7 linked regions of the Callithrix jacchus genome follow. The protein of the gene in region 7 purifies or fractionates together with the protein of the main gene of each other region. This does not show direct contact. Links are inferred from orthologs where the notes say so. Each region holds a gene or a part of one and is shown on either strand. Other genes may lie near its edges. The genes, in order: CREBBP, CBX5, DNMT1, MAP3K5, HSPB1, RNPS1 and DAXX.

The links.
Region 1: the proteins of DAXX (region 7) and CREBBP purify together in Homo sapiens (affinity purification with western blotting; 3 studies listed by BioGRID and IntAct, with this or other methods). This does not show direct contact. The link is inferred for Callithrix jacchus from reciprocal best matches to the Homo sapiens genes DAXX and CREBBP.
Region 2: the proteins of DAXX (region 7) and CBX5 purify together in Homo sapiens (affinity purification with mass spectrometry; 3 studies listed by BioGRID and IntAct, with this or other methods). This does not show direct contact. The link is inferred for Callithrix jacchus from reciprocal best matches to the Homo sapiens genes DAXX and CBX5.
Region 3: the proteins of DAXX (region 7) and DNMT1 purify together in Homo sapiens (affinity purification with western blotting; 4 studies listed by BioGRID, with this or other methods). This does not show direct contact. The link is inferred for Callithrix jacchus from reciprocal best matches to the Homo sapiens genes DAXX and DNMT1.
Region 4: the proteins of DAXX (region 7) and MAP3K5 purify together in Homo sapiens (affinity purification with western blotting; 7 studies listed by BioGRID and IntAct, with this or other methods). This does not show direct contact. The link is inferred for Callithrix jacchus from reciprocal best matches to the Homo sapiens genes DAXX and MAP3K5.
Region 5: the proteins of DAXX (region 7) and HSPB1 purify together in Homo sapiens (affinity purification with western blotting; 3 studies listed by BioGRID and IntAct, with this or other methods). This does not show direct contact. The link is inferred for Callithrix jacchus from reciprocal best matches to the Homo sapiens genes DAXX and HSPB1.
Region 6: the proteins of DAXX (region 7) and RNPS1 purify together in Homo sapiens (co-immunoprecipitation; 3 studies listed by BioGRID and IntAct, with this or other methods). This does not show direct contact. The link is inferred for Callithrix jacchus from reciprocal best matches to the Homo sapiens genes DAXX and RNPS1.

The regions. Positions count from the first base shown.
Region 1 is NC_133513.1:5,895,637-5,899,136, forward strand, and holds part of CREBBP (CREB-binding protein), read right to left. Parts: intron 2,709-3,500; coding exon 2,466-2,708; intron 1,117-2,465; coding exon 1,014-1,116; intron 694-1,013; coding exon 547-693; intron 1-546. UniProt on the Homo sapiens protein: Acetylates histones, giving a specific tag for transcriptional activation. Mediates acetylation of histone H3 at 'Lys-18' and 'Lys-27' (H3K18ac and H3K27ac, respectively).
Region 2 is NC_133510.1:65,270,094-65,274,208, reverse strand, and holds the start of CBX5 (chromobox protein homolog 5), read right to left. Parts: upstream 2,801-4,115; 5' UTR 2,686-2,800; intron 1-2,685. Other genes in the region: HNRNPA1 (heterogeneous nuclear ribonucleoprotein A1), read left to right, coding at 3,470-3,484, 4,043-4,115. UniProt on the Homo sapiens protein: Component of heterochromatin that recognizes and binds histone H3 tails methylated at 'Lys-9' (H3K9me), leading to epigenetic repression. In contrast, it is excluded from chromatin when 'Tyr-41' of histone H3 is phosphorylated (H3Y41ph).
Region 3 is NC_133523.1:9,373,678-9,377,938, forward strand, and holds the start of DNMT1 (DNA (cytosine-5)-methyltransferase 1), read right to left. Parts: upstream 2,801-4,261; 5' UTR 2,747-2,800; coding exon 2,667-2,746; intron 2,549-2,666; exon of another isoform or gene 2,427-2,548; intron 1-2,426. UniProt on the Homo sapiens protein: Methylates CpG residues. Preferentially methylates hemimethylated DNA. Associates with DNA replication sites in S phase maintaining the methylation pattern in the newly synthesized strand, that is essential for epigenetic inheritance.
Region 4 is NC_133505.1:143,406,012-143,409,511, reverse strand, and holds part of MAP3K5 (mitogen-activated protein kinase kinase kinase 5), read left to right. Parts: intron 1-332; coding exon 333-469; intron 470-2,263; coding exon 2,264-2,369; intron 2,370-3,500. UniProt on the Homo sapiens protein: Serine/threonine kinase which acts as an essential component of the MAP kinase signal transduction pathway. Plays an important role in the cascades of cellular responses evoked by changes in the environment.
Region 5 is NC_133503.1:11,064,272-11,067,663, reverse strand, and holds HSPB1 (heat shock protein beta-1), read right to left. Parts: upstream 2,073-3,392; 5' UTR 2,033-2,072; coding exon 1,669-2,032; exon of another isoform or gene 1,228-1,668; intron 986-1,227; coding exon 922-985; intron 811-921; coding exon 621-810; 3' UTR 501-620; downstream 1-500. UniProt on the Homo sapiens protein: Small heat shock protein which functions as a molecular chaperone probably maintaining denatured proteins in a folding-competent state. Plays a role in stress resistance and actin organization.
Region 6 is NC_133513.1:4,505,914-4,509,413, reverse strand, and holds part of RNPS1 (RNA-binding protein with serine-rich domain 1), read right to left. Parts: intron 3,073-3,500; 5' UTR 2,956-3,072; coding exon 2,885-2,955; intron 2,648-2,884; coding exon 2,492-2,647; intron 1,627-2,491; coding exon 1,435-1,626; intron 1,200-1,434; coding exon 1,097-1,199; intron 801-1,096; coding exon 647-800; intron 459-646; exon of another isoform or gene 1-458. UniProt on the Homo sapiens protein: Part of pre- and post-splicing multiprotein mRNP complexes. Auxiliary component of the splicing-dependent multiprotein exon junction complex (EJC) deposited at splice junction on mRNAs.
Region 7 is NC_133505.1:41,563,007-41,566,985, forward strand, and holds the start of DAXX (death domain-associated protein 6), read right to left. Parts: upstream 2,801-3,979; 5' UTR 2,708-2,800; intron 1,829-2,707; exon of another isoform or gene 1,826-1,828; 5' UTR 1,777-1,825; coding exon 1,570-1,776; intron 1,421-1,569; coding exon 589-1,420; intron 444-588; coding exon 232-443; intron 78-231; coding exon 1-77. UniProt on the Homo sapiens protein: Transcription corepressor known to repress transcriptional potential of several sumoylated transcription factors. Down-regulates basal and activated transcription.

The sequences.
Region 1 (3,500 bases), on a different chromosome or scaffold from region 7:
ATCGTGCCACTGCACTTCAGTCTGGGTGACAAGAGCGAGACTCCATCTCCAAAAGAAAAAAAAAAAAAAAAAAGAAAAGTTAATTGTTAACTTTTTGTTATGTTAACTAACTGTAAGGTGAGAGTGACATGCCATCTATACTCTTAAGTTTATCTCATTCTGAGGGATCTCCACAACTAGAATCTGGAACTAGAAAATAAGATGAAGCTTTTGAGCTAACCCCAGCCCTCTCATGCAGCTCAAAGTGCAGAGGCACATAAGACCAAACTGCATCAAGGATCTTTGTCTCCATGACAGGGGCTGCAACTCAGTGCTCCTCAGCAGTACAGAGCCACCCATGCTCTCTTTGACAGCCCCACTCAGCAAGGACACAGAGTGTGGGAATCTCTGGCCTGCCCAGGGCTGCCAGAGTTCTACCCGCAGTGGGAGTGGCTCCCTAAATAAGCGAATGGCTCGTACAGCCTAGTAGGGTACTGTCATCTGGTAGCCAATGGGCAACACAGGAACAAAACCAGGTATCTATGAAACTGCAAACCTGTTACGTACAGTTTATGCACTAGATGGCTCCGCAGGTCCTGAGTGACATGTTCGTGCCAGCCTTTCCTTACACCAGTGCTGGAAGGAGGAGCTGCTGTTGGTATGGTACTGAGAGTTCCAATGCTACCAGAGTTGGAGCCATCGTTCATCAGGGGGCTAGGGAGGAAACAAGGACACTTCGTCCATCTACCGAAGGAACTGAAACACACTTAGTCTAATACGGTTCATTTACCACCATATGTGACTTTTAAAAATCTAAGTCAGGAGAGCCAAGTGATGTATGTACACAAAGTTAAACTACGTTTAATCTATTACCTGTTCTACATTTATAATTAAAGAAAAAAGAAAAACAGCATTCATCCCTCACCACCCCATTTAACTATTTTCTCTATCGCGCATTTAGAAAGAATCAGGTCTGTGCGGTTTCGGCCCACACTTCCGTAGGACTGCCACTCAGAACTGAAACACGATCTTACTTTGCAGCCCCCAGGGAAGTTGGAAGAGCGGATTCTGAAATCAAGTTTGGGGGCTGCTGATCTGTTGTTATTCCTCCTGCTGGAATCGTCATTGGGTTATTTCCTTTAAAGACAGAAAGAAAAGAAATCGATCAACTCTTAAAATTTTAATATATACTTCAAAGTGTTGATGACAGATAACCAACATGTCACCATATAAACAATCGGTGATTATTTAAATAAGCGATTCTGATCAGTTATAATAAGCACAAAGGCAGGAACCCCGAGTGTCATATTTCAATAATGGTAACCAACATGCACAAATAATCAGTAGACGCCTCCCCACTCTACTTTGTAACCAAAGTAAAACCACTAGGTTAGCTGGTATCTAGTGACCCATACGCAGCCTCCAACTTTCATTCTGCTTCATGAATCTCTCTCCTAAGTGACTCAGCTGCCCTGACACATGCCTCTATCATTACCCCCAATATGAGAAAATAAAATCATAGAAATTAAGCTCAGGAAAAAATATCGAGGTGAATTTGTCTACAATCTTCATACTAAAGTAAACGAAAGCTGAGATTCAAAAGGTTAACCCTGTCCCAAATTACACCATCAACAGGAGAGGAATTACATTAAGACTTTGGTCTCAGGATTCTAGTCTCCTGGCCAGTATTAATGAGATATTCATTAGGGCAGTTGTTTTCCAAAAAGCAACAAATAAAGTGACTTTAACTGGGCATATTTTAAGGTGTAATTTTTAAGAGTATAATACTTACTCTATTAGGAAAAGAACAAAACTAGAACAACTAGTTAACCAGACTTGACTTTACAAACATCACTACTTAGCTTAAGCCAAAATGTAAAGGGACTGTGTCCACTTAAAGTAAAATGTTAAAGAAACCATATGCAGAAATGACAAAAATCATGGTGATGTGTAAGCAAATGACCAAACGCTGGCAAATAATGGGCTGGGGTGACAAAGGAATATTGGTGTGTCCGGCAGCCTGAGCCAAGAACGTCCCCAGGACTCCTGTCTTTAACCTGCTGAAGTCCAGGCTGGCACTTCTAACTGCAGGGAAGACCCTAACCCAAATGTGTGAGAAACTGCCAGACACAAGTTCTCCATCAAATAAATGACAAGAGTCAGCAGGAGGGGTCCGCTCAGCATCTTGACGTGTGAGATCTGCATTCTGAGCCACATGGCACATTCTTTATGAAAACTGTCCAGACAGAAGTGGCACAGAATGCAACAAAAACATTGCTTTATTTGCAAATGCAAATAAAAAATTCTTTTTATAAGCATGTAACATTTTCCTTGCATCAGACACTTCAGCTTTTTCCTGTTAGATTTTTATTTCAATCATTGTAGTAAAAAACAAAACAAACAGAAAAGTGCCTTGGGTTCCATCACTCCATTCCCTTCAGTGCATTTGGACAAGTAGGAACGAGGTTGAGAGTTCTTTCACCTACCCAGGGGGTTGAGAGTCCTCATCTGCTGGTGGGTTTGAGGCTGTGCTGGTTGCTGGCCAGGAACCTGAGGCTGCAGCTGCGTCTGGGGCTGGTTCATGTAGGGGAGTCCGAGAGCAGCATAGGCTCGCTGCATGGAGCTGGGGTCTATGGGATTTGGGTTACTTAAAGAAGTGGCATTCTGTTGCCCTGTGCCAACAGAACCAATTGTGTTTTGAATCCCACTAGCCGGAGACCCCAGGATGGCTATAACAACAAAGAGACAGACAAACAAGAAAGGTTAGCAAAAGGAGGAAGCCCACAAATGGTTTAACAACTTCTGAGAAGCAAACACATTTTACCAAAAGACTACACGTGAATATCAGAAAGCCATGAAACAAGGCTAGGGAGAAAGGAGCTGTTTTGAAGGAAATTCTCATTTATTCCGCCTTGCAGTAAGAGAAGAACAAAAAGCTAAAGAAAAGTCAAGTTTCTATCTTAGCATGCAACAGATCATAAAATCTCACTTAAAAAAATTAGTATATCTTAAAATCTAGAGACTCCTTAAGAAGTCAGTTCCAGGGAGTGGCAAATGGATGACAAAGGAAACATCTGATTCTCTGGGGGCCAGCAGACACCTCTGAGATGAACAGAGGAGCACCCTCCTGCTGCTGATCCCAACCCTGTCCTTCACTGCTCACCTGCACAGGTAGAGAAGGAGCAGAGATGATACCTGGTCAGTCACTTTTGATTAATAAATCTATGCTGTGCTCTTCCAAATCACATAACTGGAATTCCTTGAAACTTACACAAACAATGACAGCATGAACACAACCTTTTGACGGGATTCCTATGCGGCAGAGCACCACGCTGAGCTCTCTGGCTACATGAAGCTAGTCAAGAAATACTGCACGTGACCGACTGATCTGTTTCAAATTAAGGATGGAGGAAAGCTTTGCAATTCCACATCAGTCTTGTTATCCAGGGGTCTCCTCAGTACTCATGATATTCAGGAGGTGGCTCTGCCTCACATGGCCATCATCAGCTTCTGCTACCTAG
Region 2 (4,115 bases), on a different chromosome or scaffold from region 7:
AAGCCACTGCAGCCAGGCCAAGAAGTGGTAATAATTTTAAAGAAATTTTTCTTTTATCAAGTAGGACAATAATCAATTCTATGTCCTAAGGAGATAAACATCAGGATTTAGTCATCCATTTACCAAAGGCCACTCCCTAAACACTTCAACCATCCACAAGGCATGGTGGTTCACGTCTATAATCCCAGAACTTTGGGAAGCTGAGGTGGGGGGACCACCTGAGGTCAGGAGTTCAAAACCAGCCTGACCAACATGGAGAAACCCTATCTCTACTAAAAATACAAAATTAGCCAGGTGTGGTAGTGCGTGCCTGTAATCCCAGCTACTCGGGAGGCTGAGGCAGGAAAATCACTTGAACCTGTGAGGTAGAGGATGCAGTGAGCTGAGATCATAACATTGCACTGCATCCTGGGCAACAAGAGCAAAACTTGGTCTTAAAAAACAAAAACACTTCAACAATCTTCTCCCACCTTTACCTACTTACCAGTTGCTAAAATAATGGATTTTGAAAAGATAATAAACTCTAGCATTTTATTTCTGTTTTAGCAATAGGGTGTTGCTGTACTGCCCAGACTGGAGTATAGCGGCTATTCACAGGCATAATCATCTCACACCTTGACTTCCTGAGCTCAAGCCTCCTGCCTCCGTGTCAGCTTCCAGAGTAGCTGGGACTACAGGAACACAAAACTGTGCCCCCGCATACTCCAGTATTCTAGATCAATGGTTTTCAACTGGGAGATTCTACCCTCGCCCCTACCTCCCTGGACATTTGGCAATGTTTGGAGACATTCTGATTGTCACCAATGCGGATGTAGCGAGTGGGGTGACGCTACTAGAATACACTGGGTAGAGGCCAGGGATGCTGCTAAATATTTCACTATGCACAGGACACCCTGAGCCTCCTCAACAAATAATTGTCTGCCTCAAAATATCAACAGTGCTAAGGCTGAGAAACCTTGCTATAATTCAAGACTGTATTACTTTCAAACGTAAATAAATCCAGGACAGATATCCTTAACCTGTATCACTTTAGTTAGTTCTCAGCTCAATAACTCCATTACTAGAATACCTGCAAATAGGTTTAAAGTCAGATATAAATTATAAATATGTCCTTTTGCTACTGCCAGAGAACATGGAAATCTCTCCAATGTTCATAAACTTCACTAAAATTGTTTGTCTTTGGTAAAGTCAGAAAGGTCTCTAATCGTAAGTGTACTTCATAGGTAGTTGATTTTCAGTAAATATTTTCCCTCGATCCTGAATAAATCAGTGAATAAAACAGTAAGACTCTGATACAGCCAATGTTATGAAAATTGATTTATTTCTCCAAAAGATCCTGGAATAAGCAGAGTGGGTATTACCAAAAGGAGATAGACTGCATGCAAAATACACTTGGAAGAAAATCTAATAAAAAAGCAAGGAATAATCCAGGTGATGGATGAGTCTTCTTTCCCTAGAACTCTAAATATTACCCTCTTTAAGCAGTTTCCTTTTTATTTCAAAGTCAGATATTCTCAAAGGAACAGCAAAAAGAGGGGCTTTAGGATATCTTTAATGGTGTGAAGAAAGGGGAAACATGAGCGGGAAAAGTTCCCGGGAGAAAGAGACTAAAATAAAAGCACTGGGTACATGGATTATATAAAACAGAAAAGGGGTGGTATGTGATTATGACTAGAAACACAAAACAACTGACTTCATTTTTTATTTAGTTTTAATCACAGATCATTAACCCTGCAAAGTTTTAAACATTAAAGATCCAACTTGCCTCGATCCTACTGTGTCCCTAGGATTGACACACTTTAGGGTGTAGCTTTCCGAAACTTTTTTATTAGACCTACAACATATTAGTTCAGAAATATGCACTATTAGGAAAGAAATATTTCTCGAACGCCTTTCCATGACAGTATGTTGTGATTTTTCCTATTCGTTCTAACATTTTAACAGCTTCCTAAAGAAGCGACTTCTCAAAGTATTACTTAACAACAACAAAACCCTCCCCTGTTCTCCAAACCTCAAGTGGTGAGGAGGTGGGGGGGAAAATGTCAAGTCGAGGCAGCCAGGAGCAAACTTACGCTTTCAAGGAGGTTTATGGGACAGAGGCCTAAAGGCTTCCTTAGAGAAGTCACTGTGGATAAAACATTCACCCTCACACGCCATTACATTCACCGACTCCCCTTCCTCACAACCCCAAATCGAAGACCTCCCTCTTCTGGAGTCGATTGGACGACTGGTCCGAGCACTTTCCTTAGGCTGTCCGTCTACTGGCTCCAGATTCGGTCCATCAGTTTAACCGCCCGACTCCCGCATTCCCCATTGGAGTCAAACCGCTGCCTCCTGGAGAAGCCCAACCTACCGCGCGCTTCGCGCTTACTGGCTCAGTGAGACGCAGCTCAGGAGGGGAAACCCGTCTCCCACATTCCGATGGCCCCAAGGGCCCATCAGTCGGCAGCTCAAGGCAGACCCAATTGGCGTATACGCAAGCCAGTCAAAGTCTTCAGCTGCACCGCTCCAAAGAACCTACAGGGATTAAAACATCCCGCCCCCTGTTCTTCTATTGGTTGGCCCGACCCACCGCTGCCCTTTCACTATCCCCCACCCCGCGGTCCATTCATTTCACACAATAACGGGCCCAAATAGAGTCAGTTCGAGACCTACGATGGGTAGAGAAGACTGTCTGCCACTTACCCGGGATTGAGAGTGATCACTCACGCTAACGTCTGCCCTGTTGCTGTATGGTGAGGCCGCAACGCAAGCCACCACCGCCACCACCTTCTGCGCAACGCCAACCGCCCGCCAAAACGGATCCTTCCCTGCGCCTGCGCAACCAATCCGGGAACGGACCCTTTCTCCGCCCACCACGCATGCGCAAAGCTGGAACCAACTCCCGCCAATACGCAGGCGCCGTAGGGTCACTGCCTAGTACTGCCCGCCATTTCACGTGTTCCCAGAGGCTGCTGGAAGTTCTTAATGCGCCTGCGCAAAACTCGCCATTTTACTACACGTGCGCTCAACAAGCAGTCAAAATTTTGACCTGCTGGCTAACTGCTTTTCTGACACATAGTGTTAATCATGCTTTGCCAAGCGTAATATTTGTGCGGGGAAGATTAAAAAGGCGTTAAACACCCAAGGTATATTCAAATATGAATGATTTATCGGCTGGCCAATCAGACTGGTTAAGAATAATATTACTCGGGAACCAATGAACTCCAAGGGGTGGAGAGGGCGTAGACCGCCCAAAGGAATGACGTTACACAGCAGTGTGGCACCACAGGCCAATAGTAGGGGGAAGAGATTTCACACATCCAATCAGAACTGTTCAAGGGCGGAGTGTACCAATGCTGAAAGGGAGGAGGCGGGGTAAAAAAGAAAGGCCGAAGGTAGGCTGGCAGATACGTTCGTCAGTTTGCTCCTTTCTGCCCGTGGACGCCGCCGAAGCAGCATCGTTAAAGTCTCTCTTCTCCCCGCGATCATGTCTAAGTCAGAGGTGAGTTAGGCGCTCTTTCCAACTTGAATTTCTTCCTCTTCCTTTCCTGAATTGGTAAGATGCGGCTTGGTTTCGTTCCTTTCACCAGCCCATTCTACAGTTTTTTAGGTTGCTGCCACGGCCTACCCCTCCCAAAGTTCAAGTCGCCATTTTGTCCTGTTGATCGCCATGAGGCCGCTCGCGCCAATCATGAGTTATTATGCAGCACTCTATAGTCTTAGCAAAAATTCTTACGCACATAAGGCTTTTCCTTTTCTAAACCTTGCTTTGGTGAGCGAGTTTTTAAAAGAGCGATTAGTCCCATTTTGGCGATGTACCCCTCCCGCCTAAGCCTTTGTTGCGCGTGCGTCGGAAGGCGACTAGGGACGCATGCGCTTTGGATTTCGCAGCACTCCCAACCCCCAACATACCTTCTCCCCTGTTAGAGAGAAGCACATGGCTTGTTGCAATCTGAACGAACAATAAGTGCTACATACACAGTTGTCTAGTTTTGATTTTCCTCGATGGAAATTGTTTGGTGTTACAGCTCATTTAACACTTCCGCCTCCCCCACTGTAGTCTCCTAAAGAGCCGGAACAGCTGAGGAAGCTCTTCATTGGAGGGTTGAGCTTTGAAACAACCGATGAGAGCC
Region 3 (4,261 bases), on a different chromosome or scaffold from region 7:
TCTTGTGGGGAAGCCTACCTGTCTATGAGCAGGTTTAAGAATGAATTAACGCTGGGCACGGTAGCTCATGCCTGTAATCCCAGCAGTTTGGGATGCCAAGAAGGGTGGATCACGAGGTCAGGAGTTCATGACCAGCCTGAGCAATGAAGCAAGACCCTCACCTCTACAAAAGTTTTTAAGGATTAGCTGGGCATGGTGGCATGTACCAGCTACTCAGGAGGCTGAGGCAGGAGGATGGCTTGAGCTCTGGGGTTCGACGCTGCAGTGAGCCATGATTGTGTCACTGCATTCCAGCCTAGATGATACAGTGAGATCCTATCTCTTAAAAAAAAAAAAAAAAAAAAACAAAAACTGAAAAAAGCAAGCTAATTGGCCACTAGCATGTGAGCCTTTCTGAGCCAGGCATATTCTCATTTAGTCCAATACCAGCTGAAAACCCATGTCATCATGCCTAGACTAAGAATATAGAGGTGGCATGTGCTTGTTTAAGGTCCTCCAAGTGGAGGCTGTGTTTTCAAGAAGGCTGGGCAGGCCAGGCTCACATCCATAATCCTAACACTTTGAGAGGCCAAGGCAGGAGGATTGCTTGAGTCCAGGAGTCAAAGACCAGCCTGAGCAACATGGCAAGACCCCATCTCTGCAAAATAAAAGCAAATAAAAAAGACTAGGCCCAAGCTTCTCTGAATTGCATTTAACATCATGCAGTTAGACACTTTCATAATTTCACTTCCATTTTAAACCAAGGTTTATCTTGGGAGGATACTGGCACAGATAATTCAAGAAGATATATCCCCACTAACTGGTTATGACGTGGTTTGACTATAATCCCAGCACTTTGGGAGGCAGAGGCAGGAGAATCACTTGAACCCAGGAGGTGGAGGCTGCAGCAAGCTGAGATCACACCACTGCATTCCAGCCTGGGCGACAGAACAAGACTCCATCTCAAAAAAAAAAAAAAAAAAAAAAAACACGGAGTAGTTAAGGCAGGGTGGCTCACGCTTGTGATCCTAACCTTTGGGATACAGAGGCACGAGGACTGCTCGAGGGCAGGAGTTTAAGACCAGCCTGGCCAATATGGTGAGACCTCATGTATACAGAAACAAAAACTAAGAAAGTCAGCTGGACATGGTGGTGAGCGGCCTGTGGTCCCAGCTACTCCCAGGAGTTCAAGGCTACAGTGAGTTATAATTGTGCCAGGGCACTCCAGCCTGAACAGAGACCCATCTCTAAAAATAAAATTAAAAAGTGGTTTTGGAGACAGGGTCTCACTCTGTCACTCAGGTTGGACAATCTCGGCTCACTACAGCCTCAACCTCTGGGGCTCAAGTGTTAATCCCACCTCAGTCTTTCCAGTAGCTGGGACTACAGGCGCATGGTACCACTCCTGGCTAATTTTTGTATTTTTAGTAAAGATGGGGTTTTGCCACCTTGCCCAGGATGGTCTCAAACTCCTGGCTCAAGAGATTCATCCGCCACGGCCTCCCAAACTGCTGGGATTACAGGCGTGAGCCACAGCGCCCAGCCTTCAAAAAGAGAAAGAGGGGGTCAAACCAAATATCCATCCCACCCCAAGGACCCAAATCAGTACTGGCCTGGCCCAACCAGGTCACTTAACAAGCCCAAGGAAGCAAAATGGCAAAGAGTGCTTTTGCAAATCCAGTTGGAAGTGTCCAGGTCTGGTGAGGGTCTGATGACTAATGCACACCTCACTTGAACAAGTTCTTAGGCATAAATTTCATGAACAAGGGGCTGGGACCAGTGCTCCCACTGATACTTATGCACGGAAATTGGACAGAGGTTATGAATTGCTATAGCCACGGCCCCCAACATTAGACACAAACAAACACACACACACACACACACACACACCCGAAAGTGTAGCCAGTTCCCATTAGCAAGGCTTCCCTGATGCCCACTCAAAGGCATAGATTTACTAGTACAGACACACATTTACTAGTGAAGACCGACCATGCATCCTTCACGCTTCCTTGCGCTGCACTGTACTGCATGCTTAAAGTTCCTGCCAAAACACGACTTTCCCAAGGAGCAAGGACCGCACAGTCCCAAGTGACAGAATGAGTCCCCCCACTGATGGAAGGCTGGGCTCGCAAACAGTAGCCAGCCCAGCCCGGGCCCGAGCGATGACGTCCGTCTCTGGGGGCCGCTACCGGGATGCACAGCTTTTGGGGAAAGGCACTGAGGCACCCCCTCCCGCCAGAGAAGCACCCCCAGGGACCCGGCCGGACACCGGAAGTGGAGGCCGAAGTGCCCGTGCCCGAGGGGTGTCCGCTGGCCGCGGGCTGCCCACTTCCTGTGCAACCAGGCTGGAAGCAGGAGCCCGGCACGCCACTGCGTGGAGAAGGGAACCCTGGAGACAAACCCAAAGCTTGCTCGATTTGGGGATCAAAAGAGACCTCTCCCGCTACCTAGTTTCTAGCCACCAGGGAGGTACGGGGGAATCCACGGCCCATTTTGGCGCCAAACAGCCCGGGCACGCGGGACCGGAAGTGCCACTCTGCCCGCGCCAACCGCCGCTGCGCGCCGCACCACCCCACGCATGCGCGCCCGTCTGTCAGCAGCGGCCAGCGGCCACCCCGAGGGGAAACGACCCCCCACCCAGCGCCCTGCCTGGTCCCCAGAGTCCGCGATCCCCCCATGGTACCTACCGCCTGCGGACATCGTCGGGCAGCGAAATGGCTGGGGCGGCCAGCGTGGGCACCCGGGCTGGGGTGGTGCGCGCCGGCATCTCGGAGGTTAGAGCAGAAGCAGCTGCGGTAGCGCAGGCGCCCCGGCTTTTCGCGCGGAAACCGATGGGGAGGGGCGACTAGCGGAGGCGGCGTGTACCACCCTGGCCCTGGCGCAGGGGGAGAGGGGATGTACCAAACAGAGAGAGACGATACCCTGTGCAGACGGATGGAGCGGAGCGGTCCATGCCGACGGACTACGCATGCGCAAGGCGGACAGGCACCCCCGCGCCAAACAGTGGGCTCGTCCAAGCTCCACAGTTTGCTGGGAGGTGGGCACAGTGCCCGAGGCATTCATTCATTCATTCTTTCAGGCGTGCTGGGAATAAAGCAGCGAGAAGCCCCCATGGGGTTGTGAGAATAGGGCTCTTGAATAAAGTCCTCAGTTCTAATCCAACCTCCATCTATTTGCCGGCTATACGACCTTGGGTAGGTCTTTGAGGCTCAGCCTTTGCATCCTTGCCTGTAAAACCGGGTAATTACACCTACTCCAGAAAATCTTGAGTATGCACAGAATTTGTAGCTAGTACTAATAATCTCACAGTGTACAGAGGCCCGTGCCTCTTCTATAGCCAGTGTGGGGTTTTTCGTTGTTGTTGTTCCTTTTTTTTTTTAAAGCACCACATGGCTCATGCCTGTCATCCCAGCACTTTGGGAGACCGAGGCTGGAGGATTGCTTGAGTCCAGGAGCCTGGGTAACATGGAGAAACCATTCTAAAAAAAAAAAAATTAGCTAGGCATGGTGGTGTGTGCCTGTAGTCCCAACTACTCCAGAGGTTAAGGCAGGAAGATTGGTAAAAATATATTAAGAAGTACCATGCCAGACGCTGTGGCTCATGCCTGTAATCCCAGTACTTTCAAAGGCCCAGGTGGGAGGATGGCTTGAGGTTAGAAGTTCAAGACCAGCCTTAGCAACATAGGAATACCCCATCTCTACCAAAAATACCAAGATTAGCCAGGTGTGGTGACACATACCTGTAATCCTAGCTATTCTGGAGGCTGAGGTGGGAGGATGGCTTGAGCCCTAGCAGTGGAGGCTGCAATGAGATGTGATTGGGCTACTGGACTCCCATCTGGGTGACAGGATAAGATTCTGTCTCACTCTATCATCCAGGCTGGAGTGCAGTGGTGAGATCTTGGCTCACTGCAACCTCTGCCTCCCAGTTTCAAGCAATTCTCATGCGTCAGCCTCCCTAGAAGGCTGGGATTACAGGCGCACTCCACCGAGTCTGGCTAATTTTGTATTTTTATTGGTAAAGACAGGGTTTCACGGTGTTGGCCAGGCTAGTCTGGCACTCCTGGCCTCAAGCGTCTGCTTGCCTCAGCCTCCCAAAGTACTGGGATTAAATAGGCGTGAGCAATCGCAACCAGCTGGAATTATTTTATTTTATTTTATTTTATTTTGAGAGATGGAGTCTTACTCTATTGCCCAGGCTGGAGTGCAATGGCGTAATCTTGACTTACTACAACCTCTGCCTCCCAGGTTGAAGTGATCCTCCTGCCTCAGCCTCCCGAGT
Region 4 (3,500 bases), about 100 Mb from region 7:
CTTAAATAATTTAAAGTTCCAAAAGCTTTACATTTGAATTATGTAATTTCGCAGAGACAGTGCGTAAATATGGGAACCATTTCAGTACCAATCATCTTGGCTTGAATTAAGGTTAGCAGTTGACACTGGCCTTTTACTTAGACGCATTTGGTAGCAAGCTTCTTCAGAGCAGGGCTATTTGCAAATTTATGTTTGAGCCCAATATCTAGTACAGGGCCTGGGCCACTGTGAAGAACCAATGATTGTTAGCTCAAATTACTGTTACGTTATTAATATTCTTTAAAGAGCTCATTTGAATGAGGTTTTATTTACTATTTATTCCTACTTTACAGGAAGTCTTTCTGCTCTCCTCCGTTCCAAATGGGGTCCATTAAAAGACAATGAGCAAACAATTGGCTTTTATACAAAGCAAATACTGGAAGGATTAAAGTATCTCCATGACAATCAGATAGTTCACCGAGACATAAAGGTGGGGTGCACCAGGATTCGTTTTCATGAGTTCTTTCTTTGCTGGGTTATTATTTTACTTGCAAAAGTCATATTGTGTTATGAATGTTAATTTAGAATGGTGAATAAGTAATTCTTAGAAACAGCAGAAATCTAAGCTATAATTCCGCCCTGAATCACTTCTTTATGTTCATGTGTTATCACTTCTGCTCAAGGAACAAACTGCTTAACTGTTCAGCCAACAAGATTGTGCTCCCACTATATGATGCTTCCTAGGGGCTCCGCAGGGTGGGATGCAGTTGTCTAAAGTTAAACAGGGCCCTGGTCCTGAGGAGCTTACAGGCTGGTTAATCTTTGTATCCTTTTCCATAGTAGCTACTCAGTAAATACTTAATGAATCAATGGATGAATGGTTAGAAGAAAAAAAAAATTCCTCTTTTCTCACAAGTATCACATATTCATTGATTGAACTATAATTATAAGGTATAGATTCTCTAAAATTAAAATAATAACTTTACATTCTCTTTTTAAAAAGAAAATTCAGAACAAATACATTTTTCACAAAGTCTAGACTATTGAAAGTAAGTTAATATTACTACCCTAAAATCAACCAAAATGCCCATTTATCTGTAGTGTCCCTACATGTTCCAGGAGAAAAAGTAAAGAACCATAGAAAAGAAAGTAAAGTAATTGGAAAGTTATGAAAATCATAATTTAATTATGCATATATCATTACATATCTGTAAATAGCAGCAAGCTCTAACCAATTAGGAATCATATTTGGTCTTGTGATCTGAGTAACAGATTGTGAAGAACTTATAACCACACAATGAGTTCATCTTGCCCGCTGACCAGATAGAGCTGACTTCTCAAGACAGAGGAATTGCAATCGAGAAAGTTTAATACACATAGAGATGGCTAAAACCAGATATTGGCGTTTTATAATAATTCACATCAGCCTCTCCCAAAATTTAGAGGCTAGGGTTTTTCAAAGATAGTTTGGCGAGCAGGGGGCTAGGGTACATGTGCTGCTGACTGGTTGAGGATGCAATCATAGGTGTGTGGAAAATGGTTCTTGTGCACCGAGTCCACTTCTGGGTGGGGGCCACAGTAATGGTTGAGTCCAGAGTCACAGGTCTGGGTAATGCCATCTGGTAGTCAGATATGGAGTAGCCTGAAAAGACAGCTCAAAAGGCCAGTCTTAGGATCTACAATAGTGATGTCAATTATGAAAACAACTGGGGATGTTGCAAATCTTGTGACCCCCAGAATAAGGAGCTGATAATCATGTAACTATGCCTGCATCTTAGCAGACTTTAGGCCCCTCTCATCCTCCTAACCTGGTTGCCTTTCCTTAGGTTTATGAAGGTGGTTTAGTTTTGGGGAAGGGCTATTATCATCTAAACTATAAACTAAATTTCCCCAAGTGAGCTTGGTCTACACCCTGGAATGACCAAGGGCAGTTTGGAAATTTAAGGCAAGATGGTGGTTGTTAGATCATATCTCTTTTACTGTCATCATTTTCTCACTGTTATAATTTTTGCAAAGGTGGTTTCACACTGATAATATGTAAACAAAAAACAGTATCAAAAATTCACTATTGAGATCAACTACTAATGAAGAATACAGAATTAGTGTCATTGGTTGCTGTAAGGACAGCTTTTTTAAAAATTGGACTTACCAAGTCAACAACAGACAGTATCTGAAGAAAGATAACATTTGTGCAACAAAAAAAAAGAAGAAAAAAAGAGAAACAAAAGAAAATTAAAAAAAGAAAGAAAGATAACATTTGTGATGAAAGTCCTCTGTTCTCTAGGGTGACAATGTGCTGATTAATACCTACAGTGGTGTACTCAAGATCTCTGACTTCGGGACATCAAAGAGGCTTGCTGGCATAAACCCCTGTACTGAAACTTTTACTGGTATGTTTTTACAATGATGATACAGATCTCATGTAATTAAAGAAATAATAATTGCTGAGTTTGAGCATAATGTGAGAGAGAAATTCAGTTGGTGTTCTCACACACAGTAATGTTGGTATCTTTTCTCTTTTCTTTCTTTCTTTTTTTTTTTTTTGAGACAGGGTCTTGCCCTGCCACCTAGGCTGGAATGCAGTGGTGTGATCACCGATCACTGCAACCTCAAACTCCCAGGCTCAAGTGATTCTCCCACCTCAGCCTCCCGAGTAGCTGGGACTACAAGCCTGCACCACCATGCCCAGCTAATTTGTTTTGTATTTTTGATGGAGACAAGGTTTCACCATGTTGCCTAGGCTGGTCTCAAACTCCTGGGCTCAAGCAATACACCTGTGGCCTCCAAAAGTGCTGGGATTACAAGTGTGAGCCCCGACACCTGGCCAGTATTGGTATCTTTCGATGCTCACTGAAAAATGTGTTACAGAATTTTATTTGGCTCTTTTCTCTTCCTGTATTTATATGACTTGCTTAGTTAGTCTCCTGCTTAATGCCACTGAAGTTTTTTTTTTTTAAGTCTCAACTTGTTATTTGTTTTTCTTTTCATGTGATTACTTCTCTCCTGGTTGGCCTACAGTAACTCCAGCAAGATTTTTTTTTTTATTAAACATTTCCTTGGCCCAACCTCTCTGTGATTCTTACTCATAGCCTAATCACTTCCCATTTGGAGGAGGAATTCCCTCTTTTACTGTTTACTCTCTGTTGTTGACTCCCCTACGCCACAATATAAATAACCACAGGATTTCAATTCAGAAAGAGGAAGTGACTAACTGACTCACAAGAGGGAGGGAGAGAGCCTTCCTGAGAAATTAGGCAATGCAGCCCCTGAGCTGCCTGTAGTGCAGTCCTGAGAGGGTGGAGACCAAGTGTTTCCAAAAAGGTAACAGTAGCCAAGAGGAAGCTCAGACTCAAGAGATTCAAGACTGCTCAACAGTAATAGGGAGGGTATGTGAGATTTCAAACCTGATCTCCACTCTAGGTTCTTATCACTTCATCATGCTGATTCTCATGAAGGGTTAAGTTCTTCTTATAGAGAGAAATTTAGCAAAAAAAAAAAAAAAAAGAGAAAAGAAAAGAAAG
Region 5 (3,392 bases), on a different chromosome or scaffold from region 7:
CTGTCTTAGCCTCCTGAGTAGCTGACATTACAGGCATATGCTACTACGCCTGGCTAATTTTTGTATTTTTGGTAGAGATGGGGTTTCAGCATGTTGGTCAGGCTGGTCTCGAACTCCTGACCTCATGACCTGCTCCCCTCAGCCTCCCAAAGTGCTGGGATTACAGGCATGAGCCACTGCAACTGGCTTTTTATTTTTAAGAGATAGGGTCTCACTGTGTTGTCCAGGCTGGTCTTGAACTCTCAGCTTCAAGCAATCCTCCTGCCTCAACTTACCAAAGTGCTGGTATTGCAGGTCTGAGCCACAATGCCGGGCAATAGGACCTCTCTGTCTTTATGGATGTGAATTAGCCTGTGCCTAGCAACCTACACGGGAGTACCCACATGGCCCAGCACGGGGCTGTGCACCCAGCACACCCTGAGCAAAGGTGGCTAGTGTAAGCCAGGGAATGGCAGGTGCCCGAAGCTTCCTTCCACAAACACCAGGGTCTGAGCCAGTGACAGGTGGGTTGCTTCAAACTTTATTTGAGAAAAACAAATAAACGTATCAAAAGAACACACAGGTGGGGGGGGAGGCATGGCCAGTGGCGGCGGCACGGGTGGGCATCCGGGCTAAGGCTTTTACTTGGCTGCAGACTGGTCAGATTTCGCAGCTTCTGGGCCCCCAAGCTGGGCCCGCGACTCGAAGGTGACAGGGATGGTGATCTCGTTGGACTGTGTGGCTGGCTTGGGCATGGGGGCCTCAACGGTCAGTGTGCCCTCAGGGGACAGGGAGGAGGAGACCTGGGTGGGGTCCACACCAGGGGGCAGCCTGGACGTGCAGAGAGGGAATGTGAACGTTACATTACACTTCGGGTGGGTCCCTGTGCCCTCCTCCCTAGCCCCCGGCACCCACCCACCCCGACCTGGCGGCAGGACTCACGAGTATTTCCGGGTGAAGCAGCGGGAGATGAATCCGTGCTCATCCTGCCGCTCCTCGTGCTTGCCTTCGGGGGACAGGAAAATCAGAATGAGGGAAAGGGGACCGACTCTCGGCCCCGCCAGGCCAGAGGCCCCACCTCCAGCTTGGAGGCAGCCAGGACTGCAGGCTGGCAGGGATTAACAGAGGAGACTGGGGGTGGGGGCGTGCCGGCCTGTCCGGGCTCTCAGAAACTTCCGGAAAGTTCGAGTAAGAGTTTTGGGAGGAACGGAGCAGGGTGCCGAGGGGCGGAGGGAGCAACGCGCAGGCGCACTGGGAGGAGCACGCACGCCCCTCGCGCGGCTAGGGACAGGGACCACGCCAGGGGACCCGCTTATCTGCGGATGGGGCTGCGGGTGGGGAGAGAGTTCCGTGGAAAGAAGCATTTCTTCACCGATGATCTTTTAAAACATTTTTGGTTGCTTTTTAATTTTCTTGTAGTTGGTAGGGGGGGAGGTCTCGCTATATTGCCCAGGCTAGTCTTGAACTCCTGGCCTCCGCCTCCCAAGGCGCTGAGATAACAGAGCAGAAAGCGACCTTAGAAGCGACCTGCACTCCCGATTCCTGAGCAGGGGAATCACGGACGGATCCCGTTTTTCCCGGTGCTGGGCTAACTTTTAACTCCCCAGGCCCGGGGTTTCAACCGCACCCCCGGGCCCCGCCCTCCCCGCTAGCCTCCTCCCCTCCCCTGCAGGGCCAGGGGGTGCTCACCGGTGATCTCCACCACGCCATCCTTGGTCTTGACCGTCAGCTCCTCGGGGGCGAAGTGGTTGACGTCCAGGGACACGCGCCAGCGGTCCGCCGTGTGCCGGATCTCCGAGACCCCGCTGCTGAGCTGCCGGCTGAGCGCGCGGCTGTAGGCGGGCGCGGCCACTGCGGGGCCCTCGACCGCGGCGGGGGGCAGGGGGCGCACGTAGCCCGGCCAGCTGCTGGTGCCGAACCACTGCGACCACTCCTCGGGCAGCCGGGGCATCCCGAATGCCTGGTCGAAGAGACGGTTGTGCGGGTACCAGTCGCGGAAGGGGTCCCAGCTGGGGCTCCGCAGGAGCGAGAAGGGGACGCGGCGCTCGGTCATGCTGGCTGGCTCTGCCCGGGACGTCTGCTCGGAGAAGTGCGGGCCGCGGTGCTGGGTCGCGCTTTTATGTGCCTCCGGTTGGGTATTTTTAGCAGGCGGTGTTTGAGGTCTCTATTAATGGAAATGACCCGTTTGGGACCGCCTCTCCCCATGCACCCCTCCCCCCCATCCGCAGAGTTCAGGGGGCCGTGGGCGGGGCGAAGAGGGTTCTGCCCCAATCTGGAACCTTCTCTCGTTAAGGAAAACAAATGAGTTCGAGAGTGCGACGCTGGAGACGTGCCACACTAGGGCACTCGGAGGCCCTGGTGCTTCAGCGCTGGCGGGTGTGGCCGGCGGCCAGGCCAGTCCTTTTGTTAAGCAGGACAGCGCCAGACAGGTTGGGCTGGGGCAAACAGCTGGGAAGTGGCAGAGGCAGGGTTGGAACCACAAGGCTGTGTGTGGAATGTGATGTAAAGCAGTCTGGTGCTTGAGTCCAGGAGTTCGAGGCTGTAGTGAGCTATGTTCTCACCGCCGCACTCCAGCCTAGGCAACAGAGCAAGGCCCTGTCTCAAAAAAATAAAAAGGGGCTGGGTGCATGGCTCATGCCTGTAATCGGCACTTTGGGAGGCCAAGGCAGGAAGGATGGATCCCTTGAGGCCGGGAGTTTGAGACCATTCTGGGCAACATGGTGAGACCTCACCTCTACCAAAAAATGTTTAAAAATTAGCTGGATGGCTGGGCGTGGTGGCTCACGCCTATAATCCCAGCACTTTGGGAGGCCGAGGCGGGTGGATCACGAGGTCAAGAGATCGAGACCATCCTGGTCAACAAGGTGAAACCCCGTCCCTACTAAAAATACAAATATTAGCTGGGCATGGTGGTGCGTGCCTGTAGTCCCAGCTACTCGGGAGGCTGAGGCAGGAGAATTGCTTGAACCCAGGAGGCGGAGGTTGCAGTGAGCCGAGATCGTGCCATTGCACTCCAGTCTGGGTAACAAGAGCGAAACTCCATCTCAAAAAAAAAAAAAAAAAAAAAAGGAATCTGACAATCTGTGTGGTTGCAAGGTGTGTGGGCTTTGGGAGGTTAAGGTGGGAGGATTACTTGAAGCAAGGAATTTGTGACCAGCCTGGGCAACACAGTGAGACCCCATTTCTACTAAAATTCAAAACAAATTAGCTGGGGATGGTGGCGTGCATCTGTAGTTCCAGCTACTCAGAAGGCTGAGGTGGGAGGATCATTTGAGCCCAGGAGGCTGCAGTGAGCCTGATTGTGCCACTGCACTCCAGTCTGCATAACAGAACAAGACCCTGTTTCTTTTCCTTTTTTTTTTTCTTAAGAGGGGGTTTCACCATGTTGATCAGGCTGGTCTTGATCTCCCGAC
Region 6 (3,500 bases), on a different chromosome or scaffold from region 7:
TTAAGTTAAATTAAAAGCCAGTGCCGTTATACAAAGGCTCGGATGTGAGAAAGTCCACCACAAGTTTTGCCTAGGCCTTTCCTGGGTCTTAAAACAACAAAATAACGAAGATATTCTTAATGTGACTCCTTTAAACAAGTTTCACCGGGGCCTAAAAAACTCCCCAACCCTCTGTGATCTGGCAGAAGTCACAGGAAGGCTTCTTACTCCGGCACCTAACCCCATGTAAATTAAGTAAATTTACTGAGGCTCCAGAGGAAGGTCTCCATGACTCAAACCTTAGTTACAGATTAAAAGTTAATCACTTACATCTTTAGATAAATGCACACTTACGCACAGACATATAACTTAAAAAGTATAAAAGCTGAAAAACTCTGTAACTTTAAGTTGCTCTGGCAGTAATTTCCAGGCCTTCTCCGTGCAACTGGCTGCAGAAATAAAAACTTTCCTCCTCCTCAGTTATCTGCATCTCATTACCAGGCCATGAGAAATAGCGGCCCAATCCTCAGTTTGGTCCAGGAACAAATGCACTCCAGCCTGGGTGATCTCAAACAAACAGACAGACAGAAGTGCAGTGCAGGTGGAAGTCAAGTCTCTACAGGTGCTGTGTCTCTGAGAGGCTGGGTTATGTGGCAGGGTCACCCACCTCCGTCCATGTGCTTCAGCGCCTTTTCAGCTTCATCTGGATTCTCAAACTCAACGTATGCATAGCCTTTGGACAGATGGGGATGCATCCTTTCCACTGGCATGTCAATCATTTTAATTTTCCCATACGTGGAAAATATCTCCATGATGTGATCCTAGAGGGAAAGAAGAGTCACTTGAACTCCCAGCTTCCAGTTAGTCGTGTCAGATGTACAGCAAGTTCACCACATCATGACTAAAACTTTGGCAGGGCAAAACAATCCATCCAGTGAGCACCAGTGTCGCTCTGGTATACATCTCCTAGACACGTCTATTAATGGTCCACTAAGAGAACTAATCAGTGCTGTACTGAAAGCAGGTACCACCACCCCAGTCCTCCAAAACGCTACATTCTAAGTTTACCTGGGGGCACAGGCCTGCCTGTCCACAGCCAGAGATCCGTGATCCTCACCTTGGTCACATTCCTGGTGAGTCTCCCAATGTGCACTTTGGTGGGCTTAGGGGATGGGCTCCGCCTCTTCCTCTCCTTTTCATCTCTTTTAGGTGGTTTGGATCTGATTGAGAAAACACAACACCAGAAACATTCTGTCAAGTCAGAATGTACTAGATTCCTTTGAGTGGGCCTCATCTGATTGTAAGACAGTTTTCCTAAGGAAGGCATGTACATTATTCCTGTCTCAGAAGTCCTATCAAGGCAGAAAGACTCCTTTGGGGTCACTTTCATAACCCCAGTGGCAAATCTCCAGCCCCCATCTTGTAAGCTTTAGCTCTCAGGCATGGAGAACTCACTTGGAGCGGGAGCGCCTTCTATTGTCGTGCCTGCGCCGAGAAGGACTCGGAGAGCCAGAGGAGCTGCTGGAGCTGGAGCTTCGGGAGGTGCTGGAGCTTCCTGAGCGGCTGGATGCTGAGGAAGAGCTGGAGCCACTGCTTGAGCCAGTGCTGGTGCTGGAGCCTGAGCTGGAGGTCGAGCTGGACCGAGACCTGAGGGCAAGGTAAGGGATCGCAACTACCACACGCCAAGTCTCACAGTACAGATGCCTCCTCCAAGTCTGTTGTGCTCCCCCAAGGAGGAAACTGCTGTTTGGGTATCTCCAGGCCTCCCTACTTTCCCTAGTGTGGAAAACATCACTCCTGTCCCATCCCCCAGCAAACCAGAGCCCTAGGTGTCACACTGTGCAGGGAACAGGACAGAGGTGATAGGCTGCTTTCTACCCATAGAGAAGCCTTTCCTGTCGGGAGGTGGAGTCTAGCAAAAGTCAGAACTGCCGACTCAGGCTGGGAAGGCAGCTGCTGGCTGATGCTGACTCAGGCTCAGTTGTCTTTTCTTTTGAGACAGGGTCTCACTGTCACGCAGGCTGGAGTACAATGGCATGATCTCCGTACATTGCAGCTTCAACCTCATGGAATCAAGCCGTCCTCCCGACTCAGCCTCCTGAGTAGCTGGGAGTACGGGTGTGCACCACCATGCCTGGCTAATTTTGTTTATTTTCCTCAAACTCCTGGGCTCAAGCTATCCTCTTGCCTCCACCTCCCAAACAGCTGGGCTACAGATGCATGCCACCATACACACATAATTATAAAAATGTAGAGACGAAATCTTGTTTTGTTGCCCAGGCTGGTCTTGGAACTCCAGGCCTCAAGCCATCCTCCCGTCTGGGCCTCCCAAAGTACCGAGATTACAGGAATGAGCCACTTTGCCTGGCCAATCCGCCATAAACTAGGGTTTCTACTAACAATAAGAGGATGTGATTTCTTTGTAAATAATCAAGAAAACCGGAGCCATCTGTGGCGAGTGAGGGTGTGGCTGTGGCATAGGTCCCTACAGGCTCCAGGCCCGCCCGCCCACCTGGTGCTGCTGCTACCACTGGAAGCGCTGCGCCTCTTTCGGGTTTTGTCCCTGCCGCGATCCTTCTCGCTCGACTCCTTGGTGGCCCCTTTATCTTTTGAACGATCCTTGGACTTCTCATCTGAGCGGTCTTTGCGTTTGGTAGGAGAAGGAGCCCTAGATGGTGAGGAAGAGTGTGAGACTGTGTGCTGCTCTGACCAAACCCAGATAGCACAACCCAGAAAAAGGGGAGCAGCAGGGCCACAGAGATCCCAGGTGATCACAGAGCAAAGTGGTCTGTGGCTCGGAACACTCACTGCAGAATGCACAACATTCTCAACTTTCCCCTTTCTGCGGGTCCCTAGCAGTAAGCACCCCCAAAGTAGCACTAGAAAAATCTTACAGAAGGATTACCTAGTGCTGGACTTTTTATTATTTTCTTTGACTCCTAGCAAGCTCTTCTTTTTCACTCCTGATAAATCCATTCTCCCCTTCTGAGGTGTTCAAAGCAGCAATGACGGCCTCACTTATCTCAACTCTCACTTCTAACTGGATTCTGAGAAACGATCCCTAATTGATTGCAATTTACGCCAAAGAGCAGCCTAATAACAAGATAAAAGGATTTAAAGAGTGAACGAATTGGCAAGGCAGCAAGTCTACTTTGCAGTCAAAAGCTGAGCATACAAGAAGGCGGCAAGGGAGGACAGTAAGCAGTGTGCGTCCACACAACCAGGAACACATGGGGACAGTCCCCACCTGCTCATGGAGGTGTCTCTACCCCCACAGGAGGCACAGGCAGAACTGTCACCCCAGTTTATCTTTTTTTTTTAAAAAGAGACAGGGTTTCACTATGTTGGCCAGGCTGGTCTCAAACTCCTGACCTCGTGATCCACCCGCCTTGGCCTCCCAAAGAGCTGGGATTACAGGCTCGAGCCACTTCGACCAGCCAGTTTATCTTTCTTAAAAAAATGGAGGAGATGGTGGGGCCCATCACTGTCATTTTACAGGCTGAACAATTTAGTTTTCAGCC
Region 7 (3,979 bases):
TCACTTTCCTCATCTTCATCATCTGTCTCAGCTCTGGAGGTGGAAGGGCACCCCTGGGATGCCATTCCACTAGGGCCCTGGGGACAAAGAAGTTTCTCTAAGGAATCCCTTGCCCCAGAGGGTTTGATTCTTGCATTCCTTTTCATACTCCCCCATCAGTCAACCTGGACTCCCTGGTGGCCAGTGCAGGGGAAGGAGAAAGTCTCTCTGAAGGCTGTACCCCATCCACACCTCACCAGAATCCAAGGAGGCATTGGGGATGTCTGCAGAGGAGGAACAGGTGCCTTGGAGCCGAGCTCTTCTCTTTTTCCTCTCGCCCTCCTCACTTTTGTCTTGCAACATTGCATATTTGGAGATGACCTCATCCAACCGACTCATGGCCAAACTCCGGTTTTCCCGAAGGCGCCGGGCCAACACAGGATCTGACAGCGCAGGGTCAATGCCTACATGGGAAGACATAAAGTCAGAGCACTCAGCCCTTGAAGGGCCTAGAAGAGTACAAACCCTAGAAAGGACTAGAGAGATGCCCCATCCGCCTCATACCTGACAATATAAAGGTCACTGACAGGTATCCCACTAACCCCCTACCTGGCCTATAGTCATCTGTGAGGTGGCAGCCAAAGTTGTAGATGAGATCGAGGTGCCGTCGTTCCTGTAACCTGATGCCCACATCTCGGAAGGCATCCTGAGCCATGAGCTGGAGTTGCTGTCGGGGGAGGCCAAGGCTGTGGCGAGCAGCTGCCTTCTCCACTGCCCGAAGCACATCTCCATAGTCAGGGAAGGTATCAGGCCCTGGCTTGTTGATGAGCCGCTCAATGCGCCTGTTAACCTCTGGGTAGCGGGTACCACGGTAGGGGATGCGCTGCTCTATGACACGGCCCGTCAGTGAAGAGCAGTCTTTCAGCTCACATAGTCGCCCAAAGAGGCGGATCAGCTTACGCTTCAAGCGTGCCTCCTGCAGGTATGTGGAGTCTGGGTCGTCCAATTCCGAGAGATCTAACTCCTTTTCCTGCAGCCGCCGGATCTCTGCCACATAGAGTGCCAGCAGCTGCTCCAAGCGCTGGATCTGCCGCCGGGAACCACGGGTCCTTGGGGCCTCAGAGGCAGTGTTTTCAGCATTTGTGGGGTCCAAGGAGAGGTGTGTGGGAGAGTTATTCCCAGACGGCTCATTGGAGGTGGTGAGAGCAGGGGCCAAGTTCAGCTTCTTTTTGGCTGAGTGGGCCTTGAGAACAGTGCAGAGCTCATTAATGTAGACATAGAGCTTAGCTGGCCGGCTCTGGGCCCGAGATAGGACCCGAGAGAGGATGTTGCAGAACTCCGCCGAGGCCAAAAACAGAGAGTGGGCACGTTGCTGCCGGCTATAGAGGAATGGGACCACCTCAGGGTGGTCTGCTGTCTGCATCTTACAAAGTTCAAGGAACTGGAAGGTTCAGGGGAAGAAGGGAAGGGAAGAGAGACAAGGGAAGGGTTGAGAGAAAGGGGTGGTGGGGTTAGTGGGGAAGAAAGGACAGGAGAGCCAGTCAGCCATCCCCCTCCCTGGGGTACAAAAATCTTCCCACTAAAGCTCACCTCTTTGAACAGCTTCTCATTCTCCAACTTGTAGCATTTCTTGCCTCCCGAACTACTGCGTCCTCTGGCCCCATGAGGCTCAGAGGAGCTAGGGGCTTCTGCCTCAGGCGAGGCCGAACTGGGGAGTGGGTGGGAGGGCCCTGGCTGAGCAGCTGCTTCATCTTCGTCATCATCATCCAGCACAATGATGCTGTTAGCGGTGGCCATGGGGGATCAAATCCCCCAGACGGAGGAAGTGGTGGGGATTTCAGAATTCCTGCTGGAAGGGGATGGGGCCTCAGAATGATCCCCTCCAGCATTGCCCCATCCCTTCACCTCACACATTTTCCTAACTCCTTGGGTTTCAGTAACATCCATCCCTGACCAAAACTATCTTCACCACCTGATTTCAATAACCATTAGTTCTATATGCTTTTCGGGCTCTTCAAGTGGTGTGGGGAGGGCAAACCACCCCCACACCATAAGTTGCCACCTTCTGCTCCACCCCTCACGTCGATTTCCGGTCTTTCAGTTTCGTCTCTCCACTATTTCTCAGAGTTGGCAAGTTGAGTCTTCCTCCCACACTGCACCCCAAATCGTCCTGACACCCCCTTGTACAGATAACACACTCTTATGGGCGCCACCTTATGTATTTGCCACGTCTGTCCTCAAACATGTCAACCCCACACCCACCCCATCCTGAATGATCACCCCAACTTCTAGACTCTCTGAGGCAAAAGAGGTTCCCTCCCAACAGTCCGTTCTCTTTTCCCCTCCTTGAACTGGCTCCATATTTCACCCTCTGATGAGTCTCCTCAAACTGGGGCTTCAGGTTGAAGATATTTTACTCCAAGTCCCCTCCCTCTCACCCCACCCTAATTTTCCCCATTCTCTCTGTGACCTGATCAAAAGTACCCCCCAGCCTCCGCGCTGCGTTCTCCCGATTCCTCTTAGATCCCAACCCTGGGTCGAGCAGGTCCAGTAGACGCGCTTCCCGCCAAATCCCCCTCCCCCAGTTCAACCCCCGGCCGCCCCACTCCCTTTCAGGGATAGGAAGGTATCACAGCTTTCACCTCAGACCCAATGCCTGGCTCTCCCCCATACCCCTCCCCCGATATCCCCGCCCCTGCCTCTGGTCCCCGCACCGGCCGGCCCCCACCTCAGAAACGGTCTCTCGAGGCGACCCTCGCGGCTGATCTCAGAACCTCGCATGGTTCCCTCCGCCTTCCTTCCCCCTCCCACCGCAGGCCCCACTACGGACCGGAAGTCACAGAGTTTCCGCCTACAGGCAACTAAGCGCCGCCATATTGTCGTACGGAACCCAGTCTTTCTGTGGACGGAAGTGGCCGTAGGCCCGCCCCGTGAACACTTTCAGTGCCGCCCACATAGCGCTCTCTTTCAGATCGGAGTTTGTCTCCCCCAACCCAAGCTTCCCAAAGCAGCTGGGGGCCGCCATTTTGCCGTACGGCGCTGGCTAAACCCGGACTCCGGTGCGCAGCCAGTGGAGCTCTTTTCACCCGGTGCTTCTACGACTCTGCCAATCAGAAACTTCCTGCTTGGGGCCTAATCGCTGGCGAGTAGCATGTAGGGAGGACCGAGCCTCCTTTTCGAGCAGGGGCAGGGGAACCGTACAGGGTGGATAAGGAATTGGGCTTTCCAAAGCTGCGCAGGATTTCATGGAAGGGCAGAAGTCTCTTAAAAGGGAAGTAAAACCTTTTTATTTCAGCTGGGCTGTTGGCAAGCCTTCTGGCCCTGCTTTCCTGTCCCCCAGATTCCCAGATTCCCATTTCCAAGGCTTATTCGGCTGCTCCTTCCCCTTTCCCCGCTAGGCGGCGCGCTCCTTGCCGCTGTCCAGCAGTTGCTTCCACTGCCAGGGTCTGCGTCTCCCGATTGTTATAACACATGCATACAAATGAGCACAACGCGCCATGCAAAAGTGTTGTTATTATTATTATTGCTACTGTTGTTGATTTGCTTTTCAAGCTTCACCACAGAACTAATGGCCAACCAAACTGGTGGGACTCGAATGGTTCTGCTTCTCCGGAGGGGGTCCTCGAGGGGCCGTTTGTGCTGACCAGGAGGCCGTGCTTTGTCGTGGAGGCCCCCCCGCAGGGTCTGTGGATAGGCAATGATGGGGTGGGACTTGGAGGAGAGTCTGTGAGACGAAAATACCTTGGGTCTCCGCCTCCTCTTCTGGGAGAGCTGAAAAAAGAATAAAGGATGAAGAAACAAACTGATACTCACCTCGTTGAGTTTAGGGAGACTGTAGGGTGTCGTGGAGGCAAGGCTGTTTCCAGAGGTGAGCTTATGAGGAAACCAGAAATGTTAACAGGGTCCCAATCGTTGAGATTCCCACTTTCACAACATCTTGCCACTTAACTGGGGCCACAGAGGTCCTTAGATCCCTAACGCTGAGTCCCGGAATGGCAAA